Arabidopsis thaliana: one gene and its partner. The protein of the gene in region 1 interacts with the protein of each later gene in a pairwise test. Each region holds a gene or a part of one and is shown in the gene's direction. Other genes may lie near its edges.

What was found. The genes of interacting proteins can lie anywhere in the genome.
Region 2: the proteins of CAK4 (region 1) and AT3G21140 interact in a protein complementation assay, tested with the Arabidopsis thaliana proteins (one study listed by BioGRID).

Annotation. Positions count from the first base shown.
Region 1 is NC_003070.9:24,891,951-24,898,406, forward strand, and holds CAK4 (CDK-activating kinase 4), read left to right. Parts: upstream 1-2,572; 5' UTR 2,573-2,824; coding exon 2,825-2,926; intron 2,927-3,012; coding exon 3,013-3,311; intron 3,312-3,386; coding exon 3,387-3,495; intron 3,496-4,377; coding exon 4,378-4,503; intron 4,504-4,578; coding exon 4,579-4,814; intron 4,815-4,890; coding exon 4,891-5,065; 3' UTR 5,066-5,309; downstream 5,310-6,456. Other genes in the region: SGA2 (ASF1 like histone chaperone), read left to right, coding at 636-744, 1,044-1,159, 1,233-1,598.
Region 2 is NC_003074.8:7,408,192-7,415,045, reverse strand, and holds AT3G21140 (Pyridoxamine 5'-phosphate oxidase family protein), read left to right. Parts: upstream 1-2,588; 5' UTR 2,589-2,959; coding exon 2,960-3,220; intron 3,221-3,438; coding exon 3,439-3,636; intron 3,637-3,744; coding exon 3,745-3,847; intron 3,848-4,203; coding exon 4,204-4,283; intron 4,284-4,363; coding exon 4,364-4,441; intron 4,442-4,560; coding exon 4,561-4,652; intron 4,653-4,753; coding exon 4,754-4,865; intron 4,866-4,993; coding exon 4,994-5,119; intron 5,120-5,236; coding exon 5,237-5,350; 3' UTR 5,351-5,625; downstream 5,626-6,854. Other genes in the region: MNS2 (alpha-mannosidase 2), read left to right, coding at 1-64, 200-280, 360-530, 666-917; BBX32 (B-box 32), read left to right, coding at 1,656-2,333; AT3G21130 (F-box and associated interaction domains-containing protein), read right to left, coding at 5,697-6,800.

The DNA of each region.
Region 1 (6,456 bases):
TTAATCTGTAGGTAGAATGTGTAAATATTTCTACCTAGAACTATGTGAATATTTAACCCATCTGTATATATTATCTATGTGCGTCACTTTTTCTTTTTTGATGTCGTAAACACAAATGGTAACACTGGTAACAAAATATTGAAAGATAGAAAAAAAAAAAAGTATATAGGATATGATTGGTAATCTCTTATTTGTGTCACTAATCGATTGAATTCTATATTTTTTTCGTATTTATGTGTTGGACACTAAAATTATCAAATATTTAGCAAATTTCCCTGCTGCATTTCGTGAGTTAAAGTATTCCTCCCGCCAATTCAACTTAACCGGTAGTAGCCGGTCACCATTCCAACGACAACCGGTTATAAGAAAGCCATCCCCAAAATTGAAAACATTTTCATCGTCTTCTTAATCAAAAAAAAAAAAAAAAAAAAACTCTGAAGCTTCTTCTTTGATTAATTCTCTCCTGGGGAAAAAAAACCCTAGCTCTTCCTTCTTCTCTCTTCTCTTGAATTATCTGCTTTCGAATTTTTTGAAAAGGGAGAAACTTTTTCATCTGGGTCTCTCTCTCTCCCGAGTTTGGATGAAGTTTATTGAAACCTAGGGTTTTTCTCCGACTTGGTTGTTGATTAGAGATAATGAGTGCAATCAAAATCACCAACGTCGCTGTATTGCATAATCCTGCTCCTTTTGTTAGCCCTTTTCAGTTCGAGATTTCTTACGAGTGTTTGAATTCTCTCAAAGACGGTAAAAATCTCCTCTTTCTCCTTCCCCTGAATTGTAATTCATCTCGACTTTATTTAGGTTTTAGTCTCTGCTGATTCTTATGGATTGTTTTCAACACCAATTTGTTGCTGCTGATTGTAATTGGAACATATTGTTACCTAATTGCTTTGTCAGAGTCATGCTCTAATGGTTTGTTTTCTAATTGATAATCTAGAGTCTTGTTGTCTATTAGTTGGATTTATCTATGCACAAGTTCTTGGTTAACATTGTTATAGGGTGAGGATAACTTAGATAGACCCGTGCTTTTGCTTGTGGTACAGATTTGGAATGGAAGCTTATCTATGTAGGCTCAGCAGAAGATGAGACTTATGATCAACTTCTAGAGAGTGTGCTTGTAGGGCCTGTTAATGTTGGCAACTACCGCTTTGTATTTCAGGTAACATATGCACTACTACCTCTTCCAAGCACCAACAAAGTCTTGGTCTAACTCTCTATTACTACTGTTACAGGCTGATCCTCCGGATCCATCAAAGATTCAGGAGGAAGACATCATCGGTGTTACTGTGCTATTGTTGACATGTTCTTACATGGGTCAAGAGTTCTTGAGAGTTGGATATTACGTGAACAATGATTATGAGGATGAGCAACTCAAGGAAGAGCCTCCAACTAAGGTTTTGATTGATAAAGTTCAGAGGAACATACTTTCCGACAAACCTAGAGTTACTAAATTTCCTATAGATTTTCATCCAGAAGAAGAGCAGACTGCTGCTACTGCCGCTCCTCCTGAACAATCTGATGAACAACAACCTAATGTCAATGGTGAAGCTCAGGTTTTACCTGATCAGTCAGTAGAACCAAAACCTGAGGAATCATGATCCTTATACCAAGTCTAGTTGAAGAAAAGTGGATGAGAATTGAGAACTATTGTCTCCACAGATGTTGCGCTTTGCTTTTCTGTCTTTCAAAAGCATTATATGCTGTTTGTTGTACTTAATTCTAGAGGCTTTAGGGAAGTGATTCTTGACATTTTTGTATGTTTATGTTTTGGGCAAAGGTTTTTTAAATCGAAGCAAAGCCAACAGTTGCCAAACAAGATTCTGAGTTCTGATGGTTGGAATTTGGTAATAGGTGTAGAATAACTTCCCTAGATTTTCTCAAGGTACAAAGCGACATTTGATCTTCATCATTTGTTGAAAAAAGTGCCGTTAAATGGTCATAGTTAGCATTGATGATGATGATTATCATCATCATCAACCATAATTCTTTCACCAAAAAAACATGAGTCCGTGATTTTTTTAGGACCGTTTCACAGTTGTTCTGCCAAAAATATGAGTCCGCATTTATTCACCAAAAAAAAAAAAAAAAAAAAAGTAGTACACATTACAATTTCTCGCCTAACGATTTTACTCTGTGGTAAACCGAAAGATAGTTAAAAACGGCTCCATTTCGATTACTTTGAAAAAAAAAAAATGTTTGTTTTGTTAAAAGAAAATATCTTTTAAAATATTAAAAAATATTTTATTCAAACTTTTATTAATACAGATCTAATTACTAAACTCAATAACATTATAAAAGCCGTGTTCGGCTAAGCCCAGTAAGCCCTATATGTTTTGAATAAATACGATATTTTATAATAAACAGATTGTTGTTTTTAAATACCTAATAATACATAATATATTCCTATACTTGACAATAACGAATAAGAATTATATTACCTATTATTTTGGATTTCGTAAAATTATTTTATATTTTTTTTAGGTAAATGGTAAATTTGTAAAAAATAGCTACTTTGATATTTATATTGTGTATTATTTTCTACTCGATAAGATTAATCATCAATAGTTCGAGGTGGAGGGTTAAATTATCTAGGGTCTGATGATCATGTAGAATCACTTCCTGCAAACAAATCACGAGTGTTAGCATATTTATGCTATCCACAGTATCATATGGCTGTTTCTGATTATTTCATAAATATAAGGTTCGTTTCATAAAACACAAAATCTTACGGGTATAAAATTGAAACCAAAGAATTCAATTTCTTAAAAGTGTTTCACTAGGAGCCCTCGTACTTCCTCGAAGTGTACCGGAGAATCTAAACCCAATGTCGAAATCCGGCGATAATCAACCAGTTGATAGATACCTCCGCCGTCAAATCCTCGGAGAAGGAACATACGGTGTCGTTTACAAAGCCACCGACACAAAGGTAAAATCAAAAACCCTTCCCGATTTCGTTTTCAATTTCATCAAGATTTTCAAACTCAACAATCTTCGATTTTGTGATTTCCTTAGACTGGGAAAACTGTAGCAGTGAAGAAGATAAGATTAGGAAACCAAAAGGAAGGAGTAAATTTCACAGCTTTAAGAGAAATCAAGCTACTAAAAGAGCTGAATCATCCACATATCGTTGAACTCATTGATGCTTTCCCTCACGATGGAAGTTTGCATCTAGTTTTTGAGTATATGCAAACAGATTTAGAAGCAGTGATTCGTGATCGTAATATCTTTTTATCTCCTGGTGATATTAAGTCTTATATGTTGATGACTTTGAAGGGTTTAGCTTATTGTCATAAGAAATGGGTTCTTCACAGGTAAGAAGTTATGCTTAGGTTTATAAAGATTTGATTTTGATTGTGTTGATGGTTTGTTTTTGGTGTGGTTGTTAGGGATATGAAGCCGAATAATTTGTTGATTGGAGAGAATGGTTTGTTGAAGTTGGCTGATTTTGGTTTGGCGAGGTTGTTTGGGAGTCCGAATCGGAGGTTTACTCATCAGGTATTGATGCTATGATTGATACGGTTTTGAGCTTGGTAGCTAGGTTAGTGTAGTTCTTGATGATCTTATTGGATTTATTGGTTAGGTATTTATATAGTTATTGATATTTATGGTTGCATTGGTAGCTAGATTAGTCTGGAGTTTGTAGTAAATATCTTGGTACTTCTTCTTGATGATCTATTTTGAATTTTATGCTCAAAATGAAGAGTCGGTACAGAGTATTGAGAAGATATCATACTTTATGTGTGTTTGGTTTTGGTGAGGTGAAAGATTGTATTGACATTTTTTTACCCTAGAAGATTCTGAGATTGATTAGTTATGAAGAAATCTCTTCTATTTTTTGTTTGAATTGACAGGTAGATTAGTCTTGTTCTTGATGATCTATTGGTTTTTTTTTGCTGGGACAAACTAAGAGTATATATAGTGCATTGAGAAGACATACTATGTTTTTAATTCGAATGCTTGCATACCTATGTTATTGGTTTCGGTTGGTGATTACAAGTTTAAGTTTCCGGATAGCATTTTGTTGATTACGGTCATATTAACATTTTGACTCAAGAAGATTCTGCAATTGATTAGTTCTGTAGAAGTCTCTTTTTGCTGGATATGGAAAAATTGATACAGAGTATTAAGAAGACATCATACGGTTTTAATTTTGATTCTTGCATACCTGTGTTTTTCGATTTTGGTGAGATGAGAGATTGATGGTTCAAAGTCACCAGATACAGTTTTGTTACTTACGGATGTATTAACATTGTTACTTTAGAAAGATTCTGAGATTTATTGGTTGTGTAACTTGTGTAGATATCTCATTTGGTTAGCTATTTGTATCTGCTTGTGGAAGATTCGTTAAGTTTAAATTGGTTATACTTATTCACACAGGTATTTGCTACATGGTACAGAGCGCCTGAGTTACTGTTTGGGAGTCGACAGTATGGAGCAGGAGTTGATGTTTGGGCTGCAGGCTGTATTTTTGCTGAGTTACTACTTCGTAGACCATTTCTTCCGGTAATGCTCTATACCCTTCGTACTTCATGTTTAAAAAGTCTGTAGTTCTCTAAACATTTCCTATACTTTCTTCAGGGTTCTACTGAGATTGATCAACTTGGAAAGATCTTTCAAGCGTTTGGTACTCCAGTACCTTCCCAATGGTCTGACATGATCTATCTCCCAGACTACATGGAATTCTCCTATACACCCGCTCCACCATTACGTACCATTTTCCCTATGGCAAGTGATGACGCTTTGGATCTTCTAGCAAAAATGTTCATCTACGACCCACGTCAAAGGATCACAATACAACAAGCTTTAGACCACAGGTATACTCTTGAAAAAGAAACCCACGGGACAAAAATTCTGTTTCATCACTCTGATTATCATTGGTTTTTTCATCAGGTATTTCTCGTCTTCTCCATCACCAACTGAGCCAGGGAAGCTTCAGATTCCAGCTTCCAAAGGAGACGCACTCGAACCAAAGGCCTCCGAGCAAAACCAACATGGAAATAGCCCAGCGGTACTGTCTCCTCCTGGTAAAATGAGGAGAGTGATGGGTCCTGAAGGATTCACTTGAGAAGATGATGTTTCATTTCTTTTGGAAAATATCAATGGATATGCCCAGAAGATTTCAAAATTAGATTTTTACCATTGATAATTCAATATTAGTTAACTATCAAAGAGAAAAAATTTAAAGCCATAAATGTCCTTCTTAGTTCTTACTTTGTTTAATTTACCAAATATGTCATGTATCAACTATTGTTATAATTTCACTATATATCAACTATCTTACCATATTAATATAAATATTATTCAGATATTTAATATGTTAGCACGTTATATTCAGTATAACATGTTATTATAAAGTTAAATTGATTATTTCATATTAATTTGTATGATATGGTAAATGGTTTAATACGATATATAAAAATTTATCGTGATACTATACTAGTTAACATATTAATCAAATAGTTATATATATTTAGCACGATACTATACTAGTTAACATGTTAATCAAATAGTTATCCACATAAATCATAAATATTTTATGCAATCCAATGATAAATACGACAGTGTCGTAAATTTCGGATGAATAGTGTCTTCAGGCAGTTGATGAACAGTATCATGTCTAAAATATCCGGTAATAAATAGTGTTTTGAGACAATGACATATTTAGTAAATTAAACAAAATGAAAAAGGAAATTTATGATTTTAATTTTTTTCTCTTTCATACTTACCTAATATTAAACTATCTATAATAGATATCTAATTTTCAAGTCTTCCAGGCATATACATTAATATAGCTCTTTCCTTTTTTCCTTTCCTTGACTATAATCACTAATGGAGAGGTATATACAGTAATGACTTTAATTTCTAGAATTGCGTTTCGTAATGCTTTTCTACAAAGTAGTTACCATAAAAAAATATCAAACGAGAAGCCATCTTTTGACCTCATCCATGTCTAATATCTATTGACGTTAAATTCCTTCGAACCTTAAACTGATAAAAAAAAATTATCTTCAATAAACTTAAATTTATGATATAACACTGACCGAAGAAAAAACTAATTTTTCTAAAGAAAACACATTTAATGTTTAATTATAATTGCACTAAATTCTCACTCTAAACATTTTTCCATGACTATGAACCAATAATAATTCAAATATATGTACACGTGAGTGTCTTAATCAGTGGTTGATCATATTCATATTGTCAATTTGTGATTAATATTCATTGGGAAGCAGTGATCTTGTTGTATAGGGACTAGGCTTTCACAATATCTGCAATTTCCACTCCTATTGGCGATCCATACATATTTCATTGGCCCACTAAAAAAATAAATTCCAAAACAATTGGCATTACTACAAATACTTACTCTTTCGGTTTCATAAAGAATGTTTTTCTATAATTTTATATTTGTTCATAAAGACTTCTAAAACTAATCACTTATTAAATATGGACTCATGT
Region 2 (6,854 bases), on another chromosome or scaffold:
TTTAGGAGCATCTGGGTATAGTGATCCTGCTGAAGGAAAGAAGTTTCTCACACTCGCTGAAGAGGTAAACTTATGACTTGAATGATCTTTGATCATAGCGTCGTAAGTGCTTCAGATCTTTCGAATTTTTCGCTCTCTGCTTTTCTGATTTAGGCTGCTGAGATATAGCCTTTATTGCTATTTTCCACATATTTTGCAGCTTGCGTGGACATGTTATAACTTTTACCAATCAACTCCAACAAAACTGGCTGGGGAGAATTATTTCTTCAACTCTGGGAGTGTATGTCATTTGCCTGTCTTTTTCAAACACATTGTTTATTTTATGCGTTATTTATTGTTTAGTATACATGATGATTCAGGACATGAGTGTTGGAACGTCGTGGAACATCTTGAGACCAGAAACTGTCGAATCACTGTTTTACCTCTGGCGGTTAACTGGAAACAAGACATATCAAGAGTGGGGATGGAATATATTTGAAGCATTTGAGAAGAACTCGCGCATAGAGTCTGGATATGTTGGTTTGAAGGATGTAAGTTTTCCGTAGGCGCTTAATTAGATCCTGCATTGTTAAAACCTTGGTGAATTGAATTATATCATTCCACCATCTATATTAGTAATTGAGTGTAACTGATGGTAGATTCTTATTTCTTTCAATCATTTCCAGGTTAATACAGGCGTTAAGGACAACAAGATGCAAAGTTTCTTCCTTGCAGAGACACTCAAGTATCTCTATCTACTCTTCTCGCCGACAACAGTCATTCCTTTAGACGAGTGGGTATTCAACACCGAAGCTCATCCACTTAAGATTAAGTCTCGAAACGATCAGGTAAATCTCAAACAATCCAACAAAGTACTGCTACGAAAACCGGCATTTAGAATACGCCAGAGGCATTATGGTCGGATAACAAAGAAGTAAAACTCCCTGGAGAGGTCACAGTGTGATTCGTAGGAGGGGCTCTATGGATATATCTTAACAGAGCAATTGGATTTAGCTTGGCTATTCAAAGACCCTTTTATTTAAGAAACCATTTTTGGAAAGATTTCAAGATATAGACTATTGTTGTACTAGTTGGGATCAGAACCCAAACAGGTTCACCACAGTTTACACCTTGTGTTTTGTATCCTTACTCCTTAGATTATAAATTAAGAGTATTATCTTCTGTTTTGTATTCGACAAAAGATCAATGTATAAAAGTTTATATAAAAGACTGCAACAATGCAGAAGAAATGTAATGGAAGCAACCAAGAAAAGAAGAAGAAGCAATTTGCAATGAGACCAAGTCTCTGAAAAGACATTAGTGTTGACTAAATCTCCACGTCACACCAAAAGGAAGACGAATGACTTGGCGGCTAGTGTAATAGTTTTAAAAATGACCACATAATCTCACCAGCCTCAAAACCTCACGACACGTCATTCTCTCCAATTCTACAAACACCATTCATTTCATTTCCCTAAAAAATTATGGCTCATGTAAGTTTCTTTGATGTGTGAACTGTGGAAGAGACTACTCTCATCAACCATGAACCATAAAAACTCCACCGCTCTTTCTCTCCCTCAATCATTTACATCTCTTCCTTAAATCTCTCTTCCCACCATCATCATTCCAAACCAATTCTCTCTCACTTCTTTCTGGTGATCAGAGAGATCGACTCAATGGTGAGCTTTTGCGAGCTTTGTGGTGCCGAAGCTGATCTCCATTGTGCCGCGGACTCTGCCTTCCTCTGCCGTTCTTGTGACGCTAAGTTCCATGCCTCAAATTTTCTCTTCGCTCGTCATTTCCGGCGTGTCATCTGCCCAAATTGCAAATCTCTTACTCAAAATTTCGTTTCTGGTCCTCTTCTTCCTTGGCCTCCACGAACAACATGTTGTTCAGAATCGTCGTCTTCTTCTTGCTGCTCGTCTCTTGACTGTGTCTCAAGCTCCGAGCTATCGTCAACGACGCGTGACGTAAACAGAGCGCGAGGGAGGGAAAACAGAGTGAATGCCAAGGCCGTTGCGGTTACGGTGGCGGATGGCATTTTTGTAAATTGGTGTGGTAAGTTAGGACTAAACAGGGATTTAACAAACGCTGTCGTTTCATATGCGTCTTTGGCTTTGGCTGTGGAGACGAGGCCAAGAGCGACGAAGAGAGTGTTCTTAGCGGCGGCGTTTTGGTTCGGCGTTAAGAACACGACGACGTGGCAGAATTTAAAGAAAGTAGAAGATGTGACTGGAGTTTCAGCTGGGATGATTCGAGCGGTTGAAAGCAAATTGGCGCGTGCAATGACGCAGCAGCTTAGACGGTGGCGCGTGGATTCGGAGGAAGGATGGGCTGAAAACGACAACGTTTGAGAAATATTATTGACATGGGTCCCGCATTATGCAAATTAGGACATTTAGTGTTTAGTGCCTTAATTATAGTTTGTGTCATTGATCTGTTTGATCTTTCTTTTCAACGTAAACTAAAAATGGTCTGAACCAATTGAGATGATAGATATTTCTTTAGAGGAGATTTAATTTTTTTAATCAACAGTAAGAAGATTTTAGAAACGGAATAATGGTAATCCAATAGTCATTATCAGGTTCTTTTGAGATGAAATTGAAATCTTTTCTTTCCCAATTTTTTTAAACAAAGATAATTTCTTAGAATATTATGTTATTATCAATAAAAATTGTAAATTGAAAAGAAACTGATTTTCTTATTTCAAGGAAAATTCGTTATTATCAACATCAAAACAAAACAAAAGAGAATAGAAAATACATCAAAAGTAATTCCTAAGGACAAAAGTAATCGTAATCCAACTATAAAAAAAAAGCCAAAAGAAAAAGAAAAACCCTTATATGTATGTGTGTGTTATACAAACCCTACTCTGGAAAAGTCCTAATTCCTAAAGCTACTTTCAACAAAGACGCCTGAAGCATCTGCCTATAGTGAAAGATCAGAAGACTCTTCAACCAAAATCTTATTCTCATCCACCATGGAAGCTCTCTTCACTTCAACACACACACCCAATTTACAGACTAAGCCTCTCCTCAAATCTCCGCTGCCCACTTCTTCCCAGTCTTCGTGTTGGTTTTGTAATTCGCTACCCAAAACGCAATTCCCGAAGCTGAGACTCAGTAATGGATCAAGTCACGGGCTTCGTATACAAGCTCTCTTACGTAACGAGACGCCAAGTGAAGGTGAAGATAATAATGGGTTTGGTTTTTTTCCTGGGGATATCTTCTCTTTATCACAGGTACTTTTTCTCTTGTCTTGTGATGAATAAATTCAACTAAAGATTATAACTTTTGTTTTGGGTATGCAAAAATTCAGCAAAAGATTACAATTTTGGACACAAAACTTTGGTTTTGATGCAGAGTTTGTGTAGAATCGAATCTTAGATTAGCGGAAAGATGATACCACGTAATGGTTTGCTTTGACATAGAGATTAATAGCTTGTAATGTTGTGTGAAGGAAAAGCTCGGGAGTAATAGCAATGGTGAAACTTCTCATAGTGTAATCGATGTGGAGGCATCTCTTGCACATCCTCAAGGTGGTGGAGGAAATCGAGCTGGGCTTTTTAGAACTCCAATATCTGGTGGTGTTCAAAATGCTACATCAGCTCATGCTTTACCTCGGCCTGCTTTAGCTGTACGGAACTTGTTGGAACAGGTAAAAGGGTTTGTCCTTTAGATGGTTTGTATTCTTCCTTTTTTACTTCAATGAGAAAAGATTATTTAAGTTCTTTATCTGTCTTGTCTTGTGTTTTTATGATTCAAGGCTAGGTTTGCTCATCTGTGCACAGTGATGTCCAAAATGCACCACCGCAGGGAAGGGTACCCATTTGGCTCATTGGTAGATTTTGCACCTGATCGGATGGGGCGTAAGTCACTGAGTCTTTCTTTCTTTGTTGACTGCTCCTAGTTCTACAGTGTCTTCTTTTGTTGCACGCTCAATTTTTCTCAGAGTATCAGTTTAATTATTTGCTAGTCGACAATTGGTTCTTAGTCATAACTCCTCTAACTGTAAAATTGATTTGATTTTTGTGGGAACGCATAGTAGGAAGTGAAGTCAAAGTTGTTTTTTTCCCTCTTTTCCTTAAATTTCATTAGAGGTGTACATGTAGGAGTGTTTTTGTATCTGTGTATTGAAGGCAATACTGAATTATAATGGTACAGTTAATGTTTTGAGATACAATAGATGCTCATTTCTTGAATGGCTTCTACTTTTTCTTATCAGATCCAATATTTTTGTTTTCACCGCTGGCCATCCACACACGAAATCTCTTGAATGAACCTAGATGCAGCCTCGTTGTTCAGGTAACATTGGCTATTGTGTTTAAATTATACGAGCAAAAGGTTTACCCTTTATGTTATGTAACCGTTGATTTGGCTGGCAGATACCCGGATGGAGTGGCTTATCGAATGCAAGAGTGACATTATTTGGTGATGTGTACCCATTGTCAGAGGATGAACAGGTGGGTGTCTAGTTACATTTTTCCTTTTCTATTTATGGTTGTCGATGCATGAATCTCACCAGCCAAACATCTGTATGTCTGAGTAATGGCTCGTAATATCTCTGGTTGTGGCTTGGTAGGAGTGGGCCCATAAGCAATATATTGCAAAGCACCCGCACGGGCCTTCAGAGCAATGGGGAAACTTTCATTATTTTAGAATGCAGAACATAAGGTTTGTTCCAAAACTTGTGCCTTCCAAGTTACCAATACTTGTCGGATGATTGTTTGTCTCCTATTACTTATCCACTCCACACTCAATGTGACAATTGGCAGTGATATATATTTCATTGGAGGCTTTGGCACGGTCGCTTGGGTTGATGTCAAAGAGTATGAAGGTTTACAACCAGATAAGATAGCTGTTGATGGTGGTGAGCGGAACCTCAAGGTGCGTTGTTTCAAATCCCTGTTGGTCGCCTTAGAGACTCCAATAAACTTGCTCCTCATTCTTGGCCTTTTGTAAGCTGGATTTGATTCGAGTGTGCTCTAACGTATTTTCCCTAAAACTTCTGATAGGAACTAAATGCCATCTTCTCGAAACCGCTGAGAGAGCTACTGTCTACTGAATCAGAGGTAGACGATGCTGCTCTCATTTCAATAGATAGCAAAGGAATAGATGTACGGGTTCGTCAAGGTGCTCAGGTAAAATAACACTGTATTAATTAGTTTTGTCCAGTTGATGTCGACACAATTATGATCATGCACAGTGCTTCTCAGCTTATCTTTCTTTGTTCAATTGTTTGTTTTGTTTTTTTGCAGTTTAACATACAAAGGCTAGCATTTGAGGAAGGTCATGGTGTTGAGACACTAGAAGAAGCTAAGTCTGCATTATGGAAAGTGTTGGAGAAGGTCAAGCTGAATTTGCAGAAATGACAAGCCCCTTTTGCTACTTTATACGGGTCCTTTTAAAATAGTAGGACCAATAAAATGTTGTTTGGTTCCTCTTTTCTTCTTCTTGACTAGCTGAAATTTTGTAGTTTCTTTCTTTTATCTTTTGACCTCCCTTTTGTAGAGTATCAAAATTGGAGGTTTAAAAAACGTCAATCTGGAAATATGGGGTTGATATCTGAGTTTCTAATGAACAATATTAGAGCGTTAATGATATATTTCTGGAAGGTTTCAAGCCGATATTTAAAATCGTTACATAAATTAGTGGGACAATCATAAATCACACTAGCTCTAGTACTTTCCTTTAGCCTCTTAAAAGAAAACTACACTTTTAGATACTTTGTTGGATTTGAACCAAACTTGGAACATAAGTAAGGAGATATGGACATTTAGAATCTGCACTATGCTGATCCACTTGTATGATGTATATATGCTCTCCCACAATGTGTAACATGTTGGACTTGGGTTTGAAGCGATACACGAAAACGGGCTTCTCTTGGTCAGCCAAGACAGTCATCTCATCAATTCTAAAGTGAAAACGATGGGACTTGCTCCATGAAATGGCTCCGGTACTCTCCATCTTAGTTGCTATCCATAACTCAGAGCCATGACTCTTAAACATACAAAGTTGTTGCTCTTCTCTAGTCACTGATAAAGACACATCATAATAAGTACAAGGAGTATCCGTCGGAAGAGACAGACGTCGAAATCCGTCAGTCGAAAAATCAAAACATAATAAGAACATATCAAATGGCGGTCCGTCTTCAGTAAGAGCAAGCCAGTAAGTATTTCCCTTCACAGACAAGCCACGTCTCCGAGTCCCAATACTTGGTATGAACAAGCCTCCAGCCACACCATCAACTAGCCACGATTTAGAGGTAAAGTCATAGACTTGGTACTCAGTTTGAATTGGGATACGGTCCTCAGATCGATCCATCCTCAAGATTTTGTGACATGAGGATGTGTTATCATAACCTAAAGCATAGATGTCTGATACCTTGTAGGAACTTCTAGGTTGGATCCACCTTGTTTCACCTGAACATGGATTCCAAACAACTAATCTATTGTCTTTGGTGCTGCATAGTAATAAGCCGTCGCAGTGAAAGACGTTACGTATATCAACTTCCTCTAAAGAATTTGAAAGAGGATCTTTTAGGCTGAATTGACCTGTTAGCTTTGCAGATAGATCAACCTTTTCAATTCCATATTGGAGACTCACGTTCATTAAATAAACCCTGGAATCAATCAACGTGATAACCAGAGACTGCCTTGGAGCATAAGCAGAGTGCTTCTTAGCAAGTCTCTCGTCCTTAACAAGAGCGTTCCATCGTTTGGATGTAGTTCGTAATCGTGCCAAAGATACAGCCGAAACTCTAGAGAGTATCTCCACTATCAAATCCTCCGAAAGATAAACTGTGTTTCTCTTCTTCATCATCTTTACAGCAGTTCTGTTTTAAGGTTACTTGGGATGGAAGTTTTTAGACCTAAA